Linked DNA regions of Sus scrofa. The main gene of each other region encodes a partner of the protein of the gene in region 3 in a complex. Links are inferred from orthologs where the notes say so. Each region holds a gene or a part of one and is shown on either strand. Other genes may lie near its edges.

Evidence for each region. Proteins that work in one complex are often made in the same cells at the same time.
Region 1: the proteins of ORC3 (region 3) and ORC5 are in contact, whole or in part, in a cryo-EM structure (PDB 7JPO), measured with the Homo sapiens proteins. The link is inferred for Sus scrofa from reciprocal best matches to the Homo sapiens genes ORC3 and ORC5. Residues at the interface, in NP_036513.2 of Homo sapiens: Glu99, Val109, Met144, Lys145, Leu148, His178, Ser180, Met181, Asp182, Glu223, Asp232, Ile235, Ile236, Gln239, His240, Ala253, Thr254, Ser255, Pro256, Ile257, Ile258, Ile259, Arg261, His265, Ser269, Cys272, Ile273, Glu274, Leu275, Ser280; in NP_002544.1 of Homo sapiens: Asn62, Val64, Glu65, Phe67, Thr68, Arg70, Leu71, Gln75, Tyr129, Leu270, Arg271, Ser274, Ser275, Ser276, Gln277, Leu294, His297, Thr298, His299, Val300, Glu301, Leu302, Pro303, Tyr304, Tyr305, Ser306, Asp360, Tyr367, Arg373, Pro376.
Region 2: the proteins of ORC3 (region 3) and ORC4 are in contact, whole or in part, in a cryo-EM structure (PDB 7JPO), measured with the Homo sapiens proteins. The link is inferred for Sus scrofa from reciprocal best matches to the Homo sapiens genes ORC3 and ORC4. Residues at the interface, in NP_036513.2 of Homo sapiens: Thr227, His260, Arg261, Leu262, Leu263, Pro264, His265, Ala266, Ser269; in NP_001177808.1 of Homo sapiens: Pro370, Lys374, Glu377, Gln381, Ser392, Gly393, Asn394, Ser395, Gln396, Arg397.

Annotation. Positions count from the first base shown.
Region 1 is NC_010451.4:104,127,331-104,132,607, reverse strand, and holds part of ORC5 (origin recognition complex subunit 5), read left to right. Parts: intron 1-1,878; coding exon 1,879-1,931; intron 1,932-3,959; coding exon 3,960-4,072; intron 4,073-5,277. UniProt on the Homo sapiens protein: Component of the origin recognition complex (ORC) that binds origins of replication. DNA-binding is ATP-dependent. The specific DNA sequences that define origins of replication have not been identified yet.
Region 2 is NC_010457.5:4,165,462-4,170,738, reverse strand, and holds part of ORC4 (origin recognition complex subunit 4), read right to left. Parts: intron 2,672-5,277; coding exon 2,563-2,671; intron 1,848-2,562; coding exon 1,752-1,847; intron 1,667-1,751; coding exon 1,599-1,666; intron 1-1,598. UniProt on the Homo sapiens protein: Component of the origin recognition complex (ORC) that binds origins of replication. DNA-binding is ATP-dependent. The specific DNA sequences that define origins of replication have not been identified yet.
Region 3 is NC_010443.5:55,990,859-55,996,135, forward strand, and holds part of ORC3 (origin recognition complex subunit 3), read left to right. Parts: coding exon 1-12; intron 13-1,686; coding exon 1,687-1,831; intron 1,832-4,842; coding exon 4,843-4,947; intron 4,948-5,277. UniProt on the Homo sapiens protein: Component of the origin recognition complex (ORC) that binds origins of replication. DNA-binding is ATP-dependent. The specific DNA sequences that define origins of replication have not been identified yet.

The sequences.
Region 1 (5,277 bases), on a different chromosome or scaffold from region 3:
CTACTTAATACATCTGCCATAACTCTGCATCACCTCTAGAAATTGGTAGTTCATATATATTTATTTAGAACATGAATGGACTTCTTTTATCAGACAGGTCTCAATTGAAATGCTGGTTCCACTTCTTAGAAGCTTTGCAGCCCTAGTCAAATTAGTTTATTTCTCTGGATCTCAGTCTTGTTATTTGTTTAAAAAATAAAAAAAAGAAAAAAGCAATGATACTGTCTTGTAAGTTTATGAGGATTAAGTGGAGTATGTTAAGAGCTGGGTTCGTAATAGACATTAAGTAAATGTTATTTTTCTCTCTTCCCATTGAAGATAGTTTTCCCCTGGTTGTCCTTTGAAAGTTTAAATAACATTAAATTGGTAATTGCCATATAAAAAAATCTTACCAATTTAAACTCTCGAAGTCTGGTTAGATGACATTGTAACTGATAAAAATTTATTTTTATTTGCATTTATAAGAAGAAATGAATGTGAAAGTGCCTTATTTGTGAAGCACTGTTTAGCTATAAGGTGGGGAAAATGATTGATCTGGAAAGTAAGATTGTTGAAGTAGGTCTGTTCTCCACATACATTAGTAGCCTTTAGAATTCCTTACATTGCTATATTCCTACGATTTTCAGCTGTGCTTGAAGATTTGAAAAAATATACACAGTTAATTTGGGGTATTTAATTGTTCTGATCTGGGTTTTTTAAATTATTTATTTATTTTTTGTTTTGTTTTGATTTTTAGGGCTGAAGCCGTGGCATATGGAGGTTCCCAGGCTATGGTTCCAGTCAAAGCTGTAGCCGCTGGCCTATGTGCCAGAGCCACAGCAACACCAGATTTGAGCCGCATCCATGACCTACACCACAGCACAGCAACTCCAGATCCTTAGCCCACTGAGTGAGGCCAGGGATCGAACCCTCAACCTCATGGTTCCTAGTCAGATTCATTTTTGCTGAGCCACGATGAGAACCCCCGGCTTTAATTTTTAAATTAGCGTCTTTTTTTTTTTTTTGCCATGCCACGGCATGTGGAAATTCCCAGTCCAGGGATCAAACCTGCACTGTAGTTGCAGCCTGCCCCACAGCTGTGGCAACATCAGATCCTTAACCTGCTCTGCCGCAAGGGAACTTCCTTAATTTAGTATTTTAAGGGCTGTTGTAAGAGAGTTTGAGAGTTGTAGAGGGTCTTTGAATATCCTTGTGCCTAACTGCCTAGTTTTATAATGAGATTATTGCTTTATTTAGGGTCATACGGCCAGTATTTCTGTTGCCAGGGCAGTCTTTGCCCGTCATTGTTATGTGCTTCTCTATGAAATTGATTTGTTATATCACTTCTCTATTCTCAGTAATATTTAGGGCTGTTTAATAGTTTTAAATGCAAGTAAGATCACAGTTGGGCCTGGAGTTAGCATGAACTCTGCAGGTGTTTTACAAGGATTCAGCTCTTAGCGCCACTACTGACTGGCTGGGGAACATATCCTTAGGCAACTTAACGGTGGGCCTCAGTTTTTTTGATGTAATGATACTTACTGTAGGAGTTGTTACAGAGTTTAGAAACCATTTATAACAGTTGTATTTAATATGATAACTAGAATATTGGGAGTTTTATTGAGTGGTAGGTGATACTTATTTGTTGGTGCTTTTTGATAGCTTTATAATTATGAATAGAGGAGATTTTAAAGAGTCAACATCTGTGTATTGATATATTCGTTTATATTGTTATGTACTAAATGATTTTGTAGAGGTACAGACATGTATATGTTATTTATCTTGTTTATAAGGAAATTATTTTGTCAAATTAAAATTAGTTTTTCTAGGACTCTGTTTTAAGTACAGTGTATTGATTTTGTGTTTTCCATCCTTTATTGCTCTTCCATTTTCTTTCAGTTCACAGTGGGAAAAGCTACAGAAAGATGACATAGATCCAGGACAACTGAAAGGTATCAAAGGAAATATTGAGACAATTACCAGAGATTCTTCTTTAATTGATTACTAATAATCAAGACACTAAAGTTAGCACTAAAGATAATGTCAGTCAGTAGTGTTATATAAGAGAATTTACAAGCCACCATGATATTTTAATTAATGATTTTCTTTTAAGGAATGCACTAATGTAGTGGGAGGAAGTGAAGTTTGAATACCAGTTTTATGTTCAATTATGTCATGTGAAAACCAAGCTGTTTATATTTCTTTAAATGCTTATATTAAAACAACACAATTTTATTTCTGTATGGATTTCATAAGTTTTATGGAATAAATTCAATTTTATGTTAGTGTAGTTTGGGGGATGAATTTCATGTGGTTATATTTTGAAAGCTTTGTGCTTTTGTTTTCTTCAAAGAAACTGTTACTCTGGGTTTATCCCAGTAGAACAACAGTTGAGCCTTGAACAGCACAGATTTGAGCTGCATGGGTCCACTTATACACAGATTTTTTTTTTCAATAAATATATTGGAAAATTATTTGAAGATACACAACAATTAAAAAAAAAAAAACAGATGACCTGCATAGCCTAGAAAAATATCAAAAAAAATTAAGGAAATAAGGTATGTCATGAATGCATAAAATATATGTAGATATACATAAAACATGTAAAATATGTGTTAATTGATTGTCTATATTAACAGTAAGTGTCCCAGTCAACAGTAGGCTGTTACTAGTTAAGTTTTGGAGGAGTCAAAAGTTATATACAGATTTTCTATTTCATAGGAGAGGTGTTTCAGTGCCCCTAACACTCTCCCTCTCCTTTTATTTAAGGGCCAACTTATTTATTTATTTTAAATAAGTAGGTATCTAAAGTATTCTTTATTAGAAGTTCCCGTCATGGCTCGGTGGTTAACGAACCCTACTAGCATTCATGAGGATGCAGATTCGAACCCTGACCTCACTCAGTGCGTTAAGGATCTGCAGTGAGCTGTGATGTAGGTCACAAATGTGGATCAGATCCCGTGGTGCTGTGGCTCTGGTGTAGACCCGCGGCTACAGCTCTGATTGGATCCCTAGCCTGGGAACCTACATATGCCATAGGTGCAGCCCTAAAAAGACAAAAAATAAAATGCTATGTTTAAAAAATAAATTAAAAAAATACTCTTATTTAAACAGTTGAGTCAGTAGCTAGTGGTGGGCCAAGTGGTATGAAATGAAGTGGCATTGAGATTCTATTTTGGTTTCTAAATGCTTGAGATGCTAAATGATTTTCAGTTATGTGTTATATAATGGAAAGGAATAGATGCTGGAATTTTAAAAAATCTATAATAATTTGTTCAACTGCCTGTGTGATCTTGAGCCCAACTTGGTGTCTTCAGAAAGCTAAAATGGAAAGACTCGAGCTTTAAGTTACTGCAGAGATTCAGAGATGCTTAAGTAAAGCACCTAGCACAATGTTTTACACATACTAGATATTTAGTAAATATCAGATTCCTTTATTCCCTTCCATAAAAATCATTGCTGCTTTGACTGACTCTTTGGTTTTATTTATCTATTCATTTAGTTCATTTGTACAAGGTAATGTGGGGATACAAAAAGAACATATTAGCCATGGCTTCTTCAATGAACACTATAATGTAAGAAATGTAACTTCTGTTTAATTAGCTCTTAATATAAGGTATAAAGTTATGTGGGCCACAAGTAAAATACACGAAGTAGGAATTCACAGTAGAGACAAATTTGCTGTTTTGTTGTGATAGGGGAGCATCAAGGAAGGTTTCATGGAGAATGTGGCATTGCAGGGCAGGATGAATAGAATTTAGACTTCAGAAGAGGAGGAGCCAAAAAAAATAGAATGAGCAGAGCATATCATTAATAATAACGTTCACGTCTGCCACCATCATTCTGGCACTTTGAGCTAAGGGCACTTTAAAATCTTTTGACTAGAGGACACCATATGGAAGTCAAAGGAAAAGATAAGAGATACTTAAAGTCTAATGGTAGCCTGTTATATACCTTCATAAAATTTTTTTGTTGTATAGGTCTCTCGGCATGTACTCATGTGGAACTTCCATATTACTCTAAGTTTATTCTAATTGCTGCATACCTCGCTTCTTACAATCCAGCAAGAACTGACAAGAGGTTTTTCCTTAAGGTAATCATTATTTCTTTTCACTCAGTTTTGAAGATCTAGGGAATATTTTGAAATTCCTCAACACCTGTAAATTTGTAAAGGACAGAGATTGGCAAAAGAGATTGCATTTGCTAAATTACATATTTAGGACTCATTTTTTAAAGATTTCATTTATTTGTTTATTTTTCTTTAATCATTTATTCTTTCCCTTTGCCAATTAGCAGTGTTCTTTGAGAATTTACTGTAGGATATTGGGGATGGGTGAGTGCCACTTTTGGGATGGGGACAGTGCTGGAGCAGAGAAGCTAAAAAGTGATTGTATTTGTGTCTAGTAAGTGAGATATGATAATAAACAACTTGCAGGGAAGTGTTGAGGAAGGAAAGATTTGTGGAGGAGGTAGAATTGGTTGCTGAATCTTCAAAGACATACAGTGTGAAAATGACAGCAAAAAACAGATGTGTCTTTCCTGGAAAGAATATTGATAATAAAATCTAGAGGCCCTAAAAGCTTTATCTAACAATGGAGCATTCCACACACTTCAACACACCTCAAAATAGAGTTTCTTTGGGATGCATGAGCCATTATCTCCATCACCTTTCACCAAACCCTCCTTCTCCATGATGAACTCATTTGCCCTGTATGGTCTTCTCCATACAGCCATTTGCTCGATGGCATCGTGTCAAATAGGTAAAAAATAACCTTGTAACCAGATTAACCAGATATATTTTGCTAAAACCCAGTTACAAGCTGATAATAAAAAAGTTTAGTCAAACTGAACTTTTCTGTTTCTAGAACTTGGCTGTTTTTCCACCTCACTCTCTAAGCTTTTGTTTACCTTGGCTTTTCCATCTTAGAATTTCTTCTTCTCCAATCTCTATATACTTAAATTTCAATATTCTTTTTTTCCCCCTTTAATCATTTTTCCCCCTTTAATCATTTATAATTTAATTATTTAATCATTTATTCTCTATCTCTCACTTTAAGATCACAGACCAAATGGTTGCAGTAGGTAGTTTCAGGTATACCTTAGGTAATACTTCTACATTAAAAAAAAAAAAAAAAAAAAATATATATATATATATATATATGTATGTAAATGAAAGTTTCTTAAAAATATGAGAGCTGGAAATAATTTTATGGCTAGTAACTCCTTTATTGTTCTAAAGCCCTTACTATAGTACTCCATACGTCATTATCCAGAACATTCAAGAGCTTCTATGCATGT
Region 2 (5,277 bases), on a different chromosome or scaffold from region 3:
AATAAAGTACCAGGAAACAAAACTTAATAGATGCCAGTAAGGTTCAAAAAACAATTCTCATCAACCTCATAAAAACTTCATACATCATGTGAGGCAGCATCAACATACATAGTTATCTGTCCATGCATCTCTGAATGTAAACAGGGCAAACTTAATTCAGTGTGCAGAATATGGTTTTTGTTCCTAACTTCATTCGATATCATATCTCCTAGTACTTAAGATCTGATAAAACCAGTATTCCCTTTCTTTCCACCCACCTGCATATGGGGGTTCCCAGGCTAGGGTCAAGTCAGAGGTTCAGCTACCAGCCTATGCCACAGCCACAGCAACACCAGATCCGAGATGCGTCTGCAACCTACACTGAAGCTCACAGCAATACCAGATCCTTAACCCACTGAGTGGGACCTGGGATTGAATCTTCATCCTCATGGTTGCTAGTCAGTTTCATTTTACCACTGAGCCACAATGGGAACTTGAAGACCAGTACTTCTTGACTAATTGCTGAGGTTATTGAAGTTTGCATTTAAGTTTTGCTCCTACCTTTTTAAGATTTGGCTGGGTGAAAGCTTAATGTAGCTATGAAAAGAGAGGGAGGCAGGAGAAAACCCCTAGGAGTACACCTGTTGAACTGATCCTATAAATGATTCAGCAGAATGGTATAGATATAGAGGAAAGGACAGTTTCCTGTTTCCCTAGAAGTCTGACAGAGACCTCACTACAACCTGTTGAAAAATTCCTTCAGAGTTCCCATTGTGTCTCAGTGGAAACAAACCCAACTAGTATCCATGAGGATACATGTTCGATCCCTGACCTTACTCAGTGAGTTAAAGGATCTGGTGTTGTGCATGAGCTGTGGTGTAGGTTGCATATGCAGCTTGTTGCTGTGGTTGTGGTGTGGGCCCTCAGCTGTAGCTCTGATCTGATCCCTAGCCTGGGAACTTCTATATGCTGCAGGCATGGCCCTAAAAAGCAAAAAAAAAAAAAAAAAAAAAAAAAAAAAATTCCTGTAATGATTATAGGTTGAAAGATTTTTTGATATATTAAACAAAATTTATTTTTCAAGTTAATTTCACCTTTTTCACTTTTTTGTTGCTATTAGAAAAATTACATAAAGCTACATTATGTGGTTCACATTATATGTCTGGTGACAATGTATCCTAGAATAAAGTTTCTCAGGTTTTAAAATTCATGCCCCACTACATCTTTCTCTATATACCCTCATAAGTCAATGAGATTTTGACTTATTTTCTTAATGACTCATTCTGTCGCTTTTACTGCTGAGATTATAAAGCCAACCCTATGACTGTAAGGGAATAGGGTTATATCTGTGTTATGAGACAGGCTGTAAAGAGTGATGCATCTGCTAGGAAGAGACAGTAGAGGGCAGTATATTGCCACAAACTAAAACAGAACTGGCTGCATTCTTCAGAATTATTCAAACACTTCATTTTTAGTTTTATTTTTGGGGTCTGTTTTGAAAAAAAATCCTATGATAATAGCTAATATTTCAAAATTAATGAAAGTATGTTACATACACTCAAATTAGATGTAAAAATGTAACTATCTGCAAAAGAATAATAGCGAACTTAAAACCCTACCTTCATGACAACAGGTTTCTCAAAATTGTAAACAGAATGGGCCTTCCTTTGAACAAACTTCTGAAACTCTGTACAGAAAGCAATGACAACATTAGTACCTTCAAATAAGCAGTGGGGTAGAGTCAAAAAGGAACTACTAAAGTTTCATCTCACCATTATAAACCATTTGAAAATTAAAGGGCTCCTCTTCATAGATGTCATTTAAATGTTTCATCGCTATGATAAGACAGATTTCCAAGACTGACAGACCTATAATAAAAGGAAGACAAACTATGAATAGTAGTTTATTTACTGACATATAATTTTAAAATAACTGTCCTCCAAATAGAAAGGTAAAGTCAAAGATCATGGTTTTGAGGGGTGAGAAGTCAAGACATCCCCTAGGTTCAAACATGTTTCAGTCACTATATAATCTTAAGCAAGTTATTCAACCTCCCAGAGCTTAACTTTCATATACGTAAAACTTTCAGAGATGTTATAAGGATTAGAGATAATATTATCAAACACTCAGCATATGGCCCACAGTAAACACAACTAGAGCTGCAATTAGGTAACTTTAAATAGCTTTAGGGCCCTTGATTATTCAGAATCTCTAATCCCCTGGAGATTATATCTTAGTTTGTTTTTTTCCTAGAGAGAAGGTTCATTAGATTCTCAAAAGGGACAACGAACCCCAAATGGCTAAAAGCCAATGCTCCTCTGTAGCATTTGGTGTAATGAGAATACCTGCAGTAAAGTCTTAGCTGGATTTCCAATGTGACAAGGGAGGCTGAGCGTCAACTTTCTCTCATTTTAAATGGGAATAATAATAAATATTTTTAAAAGGCTGAGTTAAAGGATATATGGATATAAAAGTATTCTGTATACAAAACACTATATCCAATATTAATTATAATTTTGAAAAGCATACCATTATATAAACTCAAACTTATTTTAAAAACTACTAACCAAGCAGGTTTCTTACCATGTACAATATTTGCTTTAGAGTCCATGCTACACAGCTGGTTTGCCTCCATCAGATCTGTTGCAGTCATAAAAGGGTGTGATGGTGTTACACGATTTAAAGCAAGCATCTAGGGAAATACAGATCAGAAAAACAACTGCATGTTATTTGGGCATTTTAGAAATATTACTAAACAAAACTATTTAGAGTTCTGGAAGACTAAATATTAATGTTTGAGAAAGATATTCTCATCTTTAGCTCTATTAAAATACAGCATTTCAAGTCACATGCCATATAACTGTATAAATGTAAAGCACAAAAAAATTTTTGCTGGAGTTCCTGCTATGGCACAACAGGATCAGCATCTCTGGAGCACCAGATGCAGGTTCTATCCCCTGATGCCATGGCCCAGCACAGTGGGTTAAGGATCTAGCATTGTAGCTATGGCATAGTTTGCAATTGCAGAAGGGATCTGATCCCTGGCCTGGGAACTTCACAACAGCCAGGTGGTAAAAAAAAAAAAAAAAAAAAAAAAAGAGGGACAAAAAAAGTTCTTGCTGCTTCTCCACCCTTTCCTTGCATATCTTGTTTGTTTACAAATCCTCAAAAGAAAAATATTTTAAAAGGTCAACAAGAGACCAAAAATAAGAAAGGATACTATTCAAAGCCCTAGACCAAACAAAACCCAAACCAAAAATGTAGATCTGTGACTTGAATAAACTTTCTTAGCATTCAGTCAGCCAGTCCAGGTTAATGTTAAGTGATAGAAGTCAGTTACTTTAATGTTCGAGTGTATAAAAAAGAAAAAAATAAATAAACCCCAAATTATACACATAAACAACTCTCCTTGAAAGCAGAGTCCACTTTTCTGTAGCAAGTTGTTTTTTCAACAAAAAAACTCTTGTATTTGAAGATTTCTTTATTTGTAACTTATATAACATCTAATTTTTACTTATTTTTTTAAAAAAAACTTTAATTGAAGTATAATTAATTCAACATTCAGATTTAGTCATATATATAGGGCTAGCAGATTTAGCAGATAAAAATGCATGGCATCTGATTAAATTTGAATTCCAGGTAAACAATGAGTAACTTCTTAGTTTAAGTGTATACATTGTAATATTTGGGACATATTTTTACCAGAAACTCCCCATTTTTAAACCAGGGACCAGGGTCCTTACTTCAGTGAAAGAGTTTGGCAATCCTTGTCCTTCATTCCTGTGTAGGGAGGAACTCAGGTACCCAGTAGTTTCCTCCCTTTCTCTTACCCTTCCATTTTCCTTTCATTATAAAATATTTCTGACATATAAAAAGGTAAGAGAATAATATGAGTGTCAAGGACCACTTCCTCAGCTTATGAAATATAGACTTACAGAGTCGAAGTTCCTGTCTCTTGCCCTGGTTGGACTCTCTACTCTTCTCCATGCAAAAAAAAATCATGCATGTCTTCATCCTTCTACTACATATCTTTGTAGACAATACAGAGTAATTTTCAAGTTTTATATAAATAACATATTATACTTATGCCACTCTTTCTTCACTGAACATCTATCATGAGGATTCATCCATGTTAAGATATCAATTCTAGTTTCATTTTTTTTTTGTATTGTAGTCCTTTGTTTATACTCACAATTATTCTTTCCCCTATTGATGGATATCTGTCATTTCTTTTTTTGTAATTATAAACAAGGCTACAATAAACAATCTTGTACATGCCTTCTTATGAATCTGAGTATCTCTAGATGCTTAATTTGCCATATTGCTCTCCAAAGTACCTATATGTATTTATACTACTAGCAGCAATAAATTTAATAGTCGCAGGCAGACACCATACCATCAGACATAAACTTTTGAAACTCATCAGATTGCCAGGTCCTTAACCCACTGAGCAAGGCCAGGGATCGAACCTGCACCCTCATGGATACTAGTCATATTTGTTTCCACTGAGCCACAACGGGAACTCCATAATTTCTGGAGGTTAAACATCTTTACACATTATAAGACATGAGATACTACACTGGTGGATTGCTTGTGCTCACATTCTTAGTTGGTTCATTCCCTTACTGTTTACTCTAGAAGCTCTTTATAAATTACGTATAGTGTTGATGATTGTGTTGTCATTTTCCTCTCCTAATCAGTCATCACTTCTGTAGTATCTTTTGGTGTCCAGACATTTAAAAATTCAATGCAATTAACTTTAACCATCTTTTCTTGTGATTTGTGTAACTTCTCTAAGAAATATTTTCTTACCTCAAAAATACAAACATAATCTCTTATATTTTTCTTCTAATTTCTAAAAGAGTTTGCTTTTGTATATACATTTAGGTTTATCAACCTGAAATTTACTTTTGGCTATGCAATGAATGTGTTTTTTCTATGTGTATAACTCCTGATTTTTTTGGTGAAAAATTATCCAAATAACTGCATTTAATTGCAGTCAAGTCTTTCAAACTTTCCTTAAAAATTTCAACCAATTCCAAATTTGTTGAAATCCTTCCTCAATAATTTCAACCAATTCCAAAACAAGAAAAACCAAACCAAAAATCAAGCCATTACCTTGAATTAAAAATGTAATAGGAAACTGGCAAAACAGTGGTTCATGTTGACAACTTTGAAGCAAAGATATTTTTCCCAGAATGATGAGAGGAATGTGTGTATGTGTATCTTCCAAATAACGTAAGTTAGTAAATAGTCTAATTTTGGTACACAAATAACTAAAATCTCTAAAAATTCTTA
Region 3 (5,277 bases):
TCTGAAACTGAGGTGAATACTTTTTTTTAATAACATTTCTTTAATATCACAAATCTCATTATTTGTGGCTTCCCATTTTCCTTTCCACTGATTTGTAAGAGTATTGACGAAATATAGGTGATCGTGGTTAGGCATAGTCTTTATATTCTAAAATAAAAAATCCTTATGTTTCGAGTATTAAGCATAGCTTTGGGTACTGGAACATAGGCATATAGTGATCACTGCTAAGGCACAGGCCCTTTACATATCCTCACAGCTCTTGAATGGTGGCGCTCTTTAAATTATCCATTCAGTTATACAAGTTTGAAATCAAGCTATTTCTAAACTACTTCACTTCTGTATCCTCATATCCAGTTACCACGTTCTTTATATTTCAGTTCTGAAAAGTTTCTCCACCATAGCAGATTCATAGCTGTAGAGTCACATTTTGAGTGGACTTGTTTTTTACAGTACAACATGGATTGTATTTCTTGTTTTTTAATGCCTGGGGGGGAGGGTTATGGACTTTGCAATTTATTTCTGTTTCCCATCACTCTCTTGCTTTATACCTGGTGGCTTTGCTCCTTCATATATTCCATGGGACCCTTGAAGCAATTTGTGTTTGTGGTTTCTAGCTTAGGAAACCTAAATTGTCATAATATCCTCTTAATTGATGTACCTGCTTCTGATGTCAAACCCTTAGGGTCTGACACGAGACCCTTTGCCACCACTGGCCAAATGCTGTCAGGCAGAGCCAGCCCTGTAGCACGAACGGGGGTTTTCCAGCCCCATTACTAGTAGAGCCTTTCAGATCCCATCTAATATGGCCTTCACAGTGCAGCCAGATTAACCCTTCTTTCACCCTGATTTAATCATATCTCTGCTTCAGATTCCTTTAATAGTTCTTCCCACAGAATAAAATTCAAACACTTTGACATCAAGTATATATTTTCTTAGAGTTCCCACTGTGGCACAGAGGGATCGGTGGCATCTTGGGAGCACCGGGACGCAGGTTTGAATCCTGGCCAGGCACAGTGGGTTAAGGATCTGGGGTTGCTCCAGCTGTGGCTTAGGTTGCAACTGCGGCTTGAATCTGATCCCTGGCCCCGGGAACTCCATATGCCTTGGGGCAGCCAAAAAAAAAAAAAGGAAAAAAAATAAATACATTTTTTTCTTGGTCTAGTTCATTGAGTATTTCAAGTTACATTCCCAGCCACTTTTTATGTTTTTTATGTTTAGCTATAACTGTGGTTCCCCCAGATGTTTGGTACTTTCTTCCCTGCTTGCCTCCTCCTGTCCCCATTCCTTCTAACTTTATTTCATCTACTGTTACCTGCTCTATCACCCACTCTGGTACTTAGGCTCAAATATATCACCTGCTCAGCTTTAATTGGCTGGCCTTAATCTTTTTTCCTATATTATCATAATGCTCCACACAATGTAAGTGTTCTAGCTCAATTTCTTCACTTTTTTAAAGAGACTCATTTGTAAGGTGGTTAGTAAATGTTTGCTAAATGAATAAATGAAATTCTTTAATGTACTATTCACTGCATAGATTTAAGGAAAATTTTAAATTTCATCTACTGTATAGTCATTTTACATGTGATCTTTGGAACTGAAATCATGGCAGTGTTCTTTCCTAAACTTGGAAAGATGCATCGGATTATTACTAACAATAATTCATAAAGTTTTATGTCTTCTTTGTAGCAACTACAAGAGGAATTAAATAAAAACCTGTTTGACAGTCTAATTGAATTTCTGCAAAAATCTCATTCTGGATTCCAGAAGAATTCAAGAGACTGGGGCTGTCAAATAAAGCTCAGAGAAATTCCAGCTGCTGCTCTTGTTCTAGGTACATATGTGTGTGTTTGTTTTTTTTAAATGGTGATTTTGTTGTTGAGAATAGTGGGAGATCACCTGTTTCGATAACCTGTTTTATGTCTTTCATTTACACAACTAAACCGTTAAAGTTTGCATGCTTTCAAAACCGGTAAAAGTTCCTTTTACTGATCATACACCTGTAAATTTTAGAAAATTGATCTAGAGTTAGCATCTGTCTCACCTTTTTGTCAGAAAATGAAAAGAAAATATATTTGTATTACTTTCTTCCTTGTTTTTGTTTTGTTTTTTTGTTTTTATAGGGCCGCACCAGCGACATATGGAGGTTCCCAGGCTAGGGGTCTAATCCGAGCTGTTGCTGCCAGTCTACTCCAGAGCCACAGCAATGCCAGATCCAAGCTGAGTCTGCAACCTACACCAGAGCTCACTGCAACGCTGGATCCTTAACCCACTGAGCAAGGCCAGGAATAGAACCTACAACCTAGAATCCCTCCTTCCTAGAGGGATTCATTTCTGCTACGCCATGACGGGAACTCCTTCCTTAGTTATTTTAATATGAGATTTGAATTCAGTAATAAACTACCAGTGTGTTAATAGATTTGATTTTTATACTTTTTAAAAACCATATCTTCAATGGAATTACTCTGTGATCTTAATTTTGTTTCCCTGTGCTTATTTTTTCATTCTTGGATTGTATTGTAATATTGTGTTAATATCAGTTGTTTAAATGGGTTTGGATGAACTGTGTACAAATTGCTTTCAGACTGCAGATTGTAAATTTTTTAGGTATTTACGTGTATCCATCATTAATATCTCATTTTAACCAAACATCTGGATTGCAGGATAATAGAAAAAATGTCTTTGAAATATTAGCAGATTTTCTTTATTCCTTTTGAAAGGAAGGGTTGGATTTATTTGGATTCCAAAAATACTCTTCATTGTACTTCCAATTTGTTATTTTTTCAGGGTCTGAGATAAATTAATTCTGTTGTTTAATACTACCTCTAGTACTGTTCATTATCTAAATCTTATTCCTGATATTCAGGACAATACTTTTCAGACTTTCATGTACCTACAAATAACCTCCATGGGATCTTAGTAGACTCAGAGTTTCATTAATAGATCAGGTGTGTGTGTGTGCGCACGTGCGCGTGTGTGAAACTCTGCATTTCTTTTTCTTTCTTTTTTTTTTCCTTCTGGCTACACTTGTGGAATAGGGAAGTTCCCAGGCCAGAGATTGTATCTGTGCCACAGCAGCGACCCAAGCCATGGCAGTGACAGTGCTGAGTCCTTAACCCACTGCACCACCAGGGAACTCCGAAATCCTGCATTTCTATCAGGTTTACAGCTCATGCTTATATTGCCAATTCCAGGACCATTTTGAGGAACAAGACTCCAGAGAATGATATTTATAATGCTGTGAACCAGGTCCTCAGTGCTGCCTGCCACTTGATTTCAAACCTCTTCCATTTTTGGATGAGAAACTGAGGCTCATTGATGGCCAACTTGTACTGTGGGGTGCTTTGTCTCTTTCCTGCCAGGTTAAAGCAGTTGGAGGTGGAGTAGGGGAAACACAATCAAGAGGGATGGCCTGATTGTTGTGAGAGCTCTGTTTAAATCTGTTCTCCACCTACTGCCAAAAGGAGAAAAGAAACTAATTGAAATCATATGTTTCAAAGTCAGTGGTCGGAGGAGAACATTTTTCCAGTTAAAGTCGTTGTTGATTATCTTGTTTCCAATAGACAGTTCCATTGTTTTAAGGAACATAGCGTTAAATAGTTAATAAAGTCAGTCAGTAAAGAAAGATAAGCCAGTGTTTTACTAAAATCCCAAATTTGTTCAGAGATACCGTATCACAATCATAGACCATAGTGCATGCTAGGAATATCATTTTGATTCTATAAGAAAGAAGAATCTATACTCAAAAGAATGCTTAAGCACAGTTGGATCTTTGTTTTCAAAAAGGCATATGTCCATTTAAAAATACCCTGTCAACATTTTTGTCTCCTAGAAAAAAAAAAATTTGCTTAGTGGTGGCCTGGGTGATTCTGAAACCTTTTTCTTTCCTTCCAAGCAGCTGAAGTTTTATAGTAGCAAGTCTCAGAGCAGTTTTAAGATGTGAGCTGCTGGCCCCTGCCTAAGCACCGAAGCACTTCCTAGAACTCACACATTGTGACGCTAGGGAAATCATCAGTTATCACAATTTTTTTCCAAAGTAGTAGGGAAGTTTCCACTCAACTCTGGTAACTGCATGCAGAGCACTAAAACTCTGTTTGTGGAAATCAGAACCAGGGATTCAGGAGTTCCCGTCGTGGCGCAGTGGTTAACGAATCCGACTAGGAACCATGAGGTTGCAGGTTCGGTCCCTGCCCTTGCTCAGTGGGTTAACGATCCGGCATTGCCGTGAGCTGTGGTGTAGGTTGCAGACGCGGCTCGGATCCTGCGTTGCTATAGCTCTGGCGTAGGCTGGCAGCTACAGCTCCGATTCGACCCCAAGCCTGGGAACCTCCATATGCCACAGGAGCGGCCCAAAGAAATAGCAAAAAAAAGAACCAGGGATTCAGTAAATACTTAAAGGATCTAAAGTTTTAATTAGTTTTTAGACTCTTCCCTCAAAAATCAACTCAATATATACTTCACCTTTTGTATTTATTACTGTGATCATTAATAGTATTAATGATTGGCCTCTCCTCAGTTGTTAAGTTAGGGTCACAGTAAGGCCCTTATTTTTGATTGACTGTTTTAAAGAACTCTGTGAATTTTAAATTACTTCAACTATATGTCCCCAGTAGTTTTTTGAAAGGAAAATTGTGCTAAATACCTTTCCTGGCTAGTGTGTGCCTCTGCGTGTCTACTTTTAATAGAGATCTCTTCATCTCTGTGGTATATTTTCTTAGTTTTTGTTACTAACCATGTTTTAAAAATATTTTTACTTCATAATTTACTTGACATGTTAAATAGCTTTTTTGTTATTAAATTATTAATGATAAAATGATGGTATAATATTGATTTATTATCCCATAGGTGTGAATGTAACAGATCATGACTTAACATTCAGGAGTCTAACAGAAGCCCTTCAGAATAATGTCACTCCATATGTAGTCTCATTGCAAGCTAAAGATTGTCCAGGTGAAGTATTAATGCTCTAATAACCTTGATGAGATGTTACACATCTCTTCCGTCTTCTTTCTGGCTGTCTTTATCCCTTTTTATTTGTGGGAAGAGCATGACACTGAGTTTTTGGCAGGATGAGGTTCAGTACCTCACAGAGTAATCCCGAGCCTTCAAAACCTTTTGCTGTCCGGTGTTATATAAGTACATATTATTCCTAATATAATATATAGTTTTCAGGTTTATGCATTTGCTTAGGTAATACTTTTCTTATAGACAATAGACATAAACTTTAGTGTTAGTCTGAATTAATGAAATTTAAATATTGGGAGGATGTTAATGAACCTT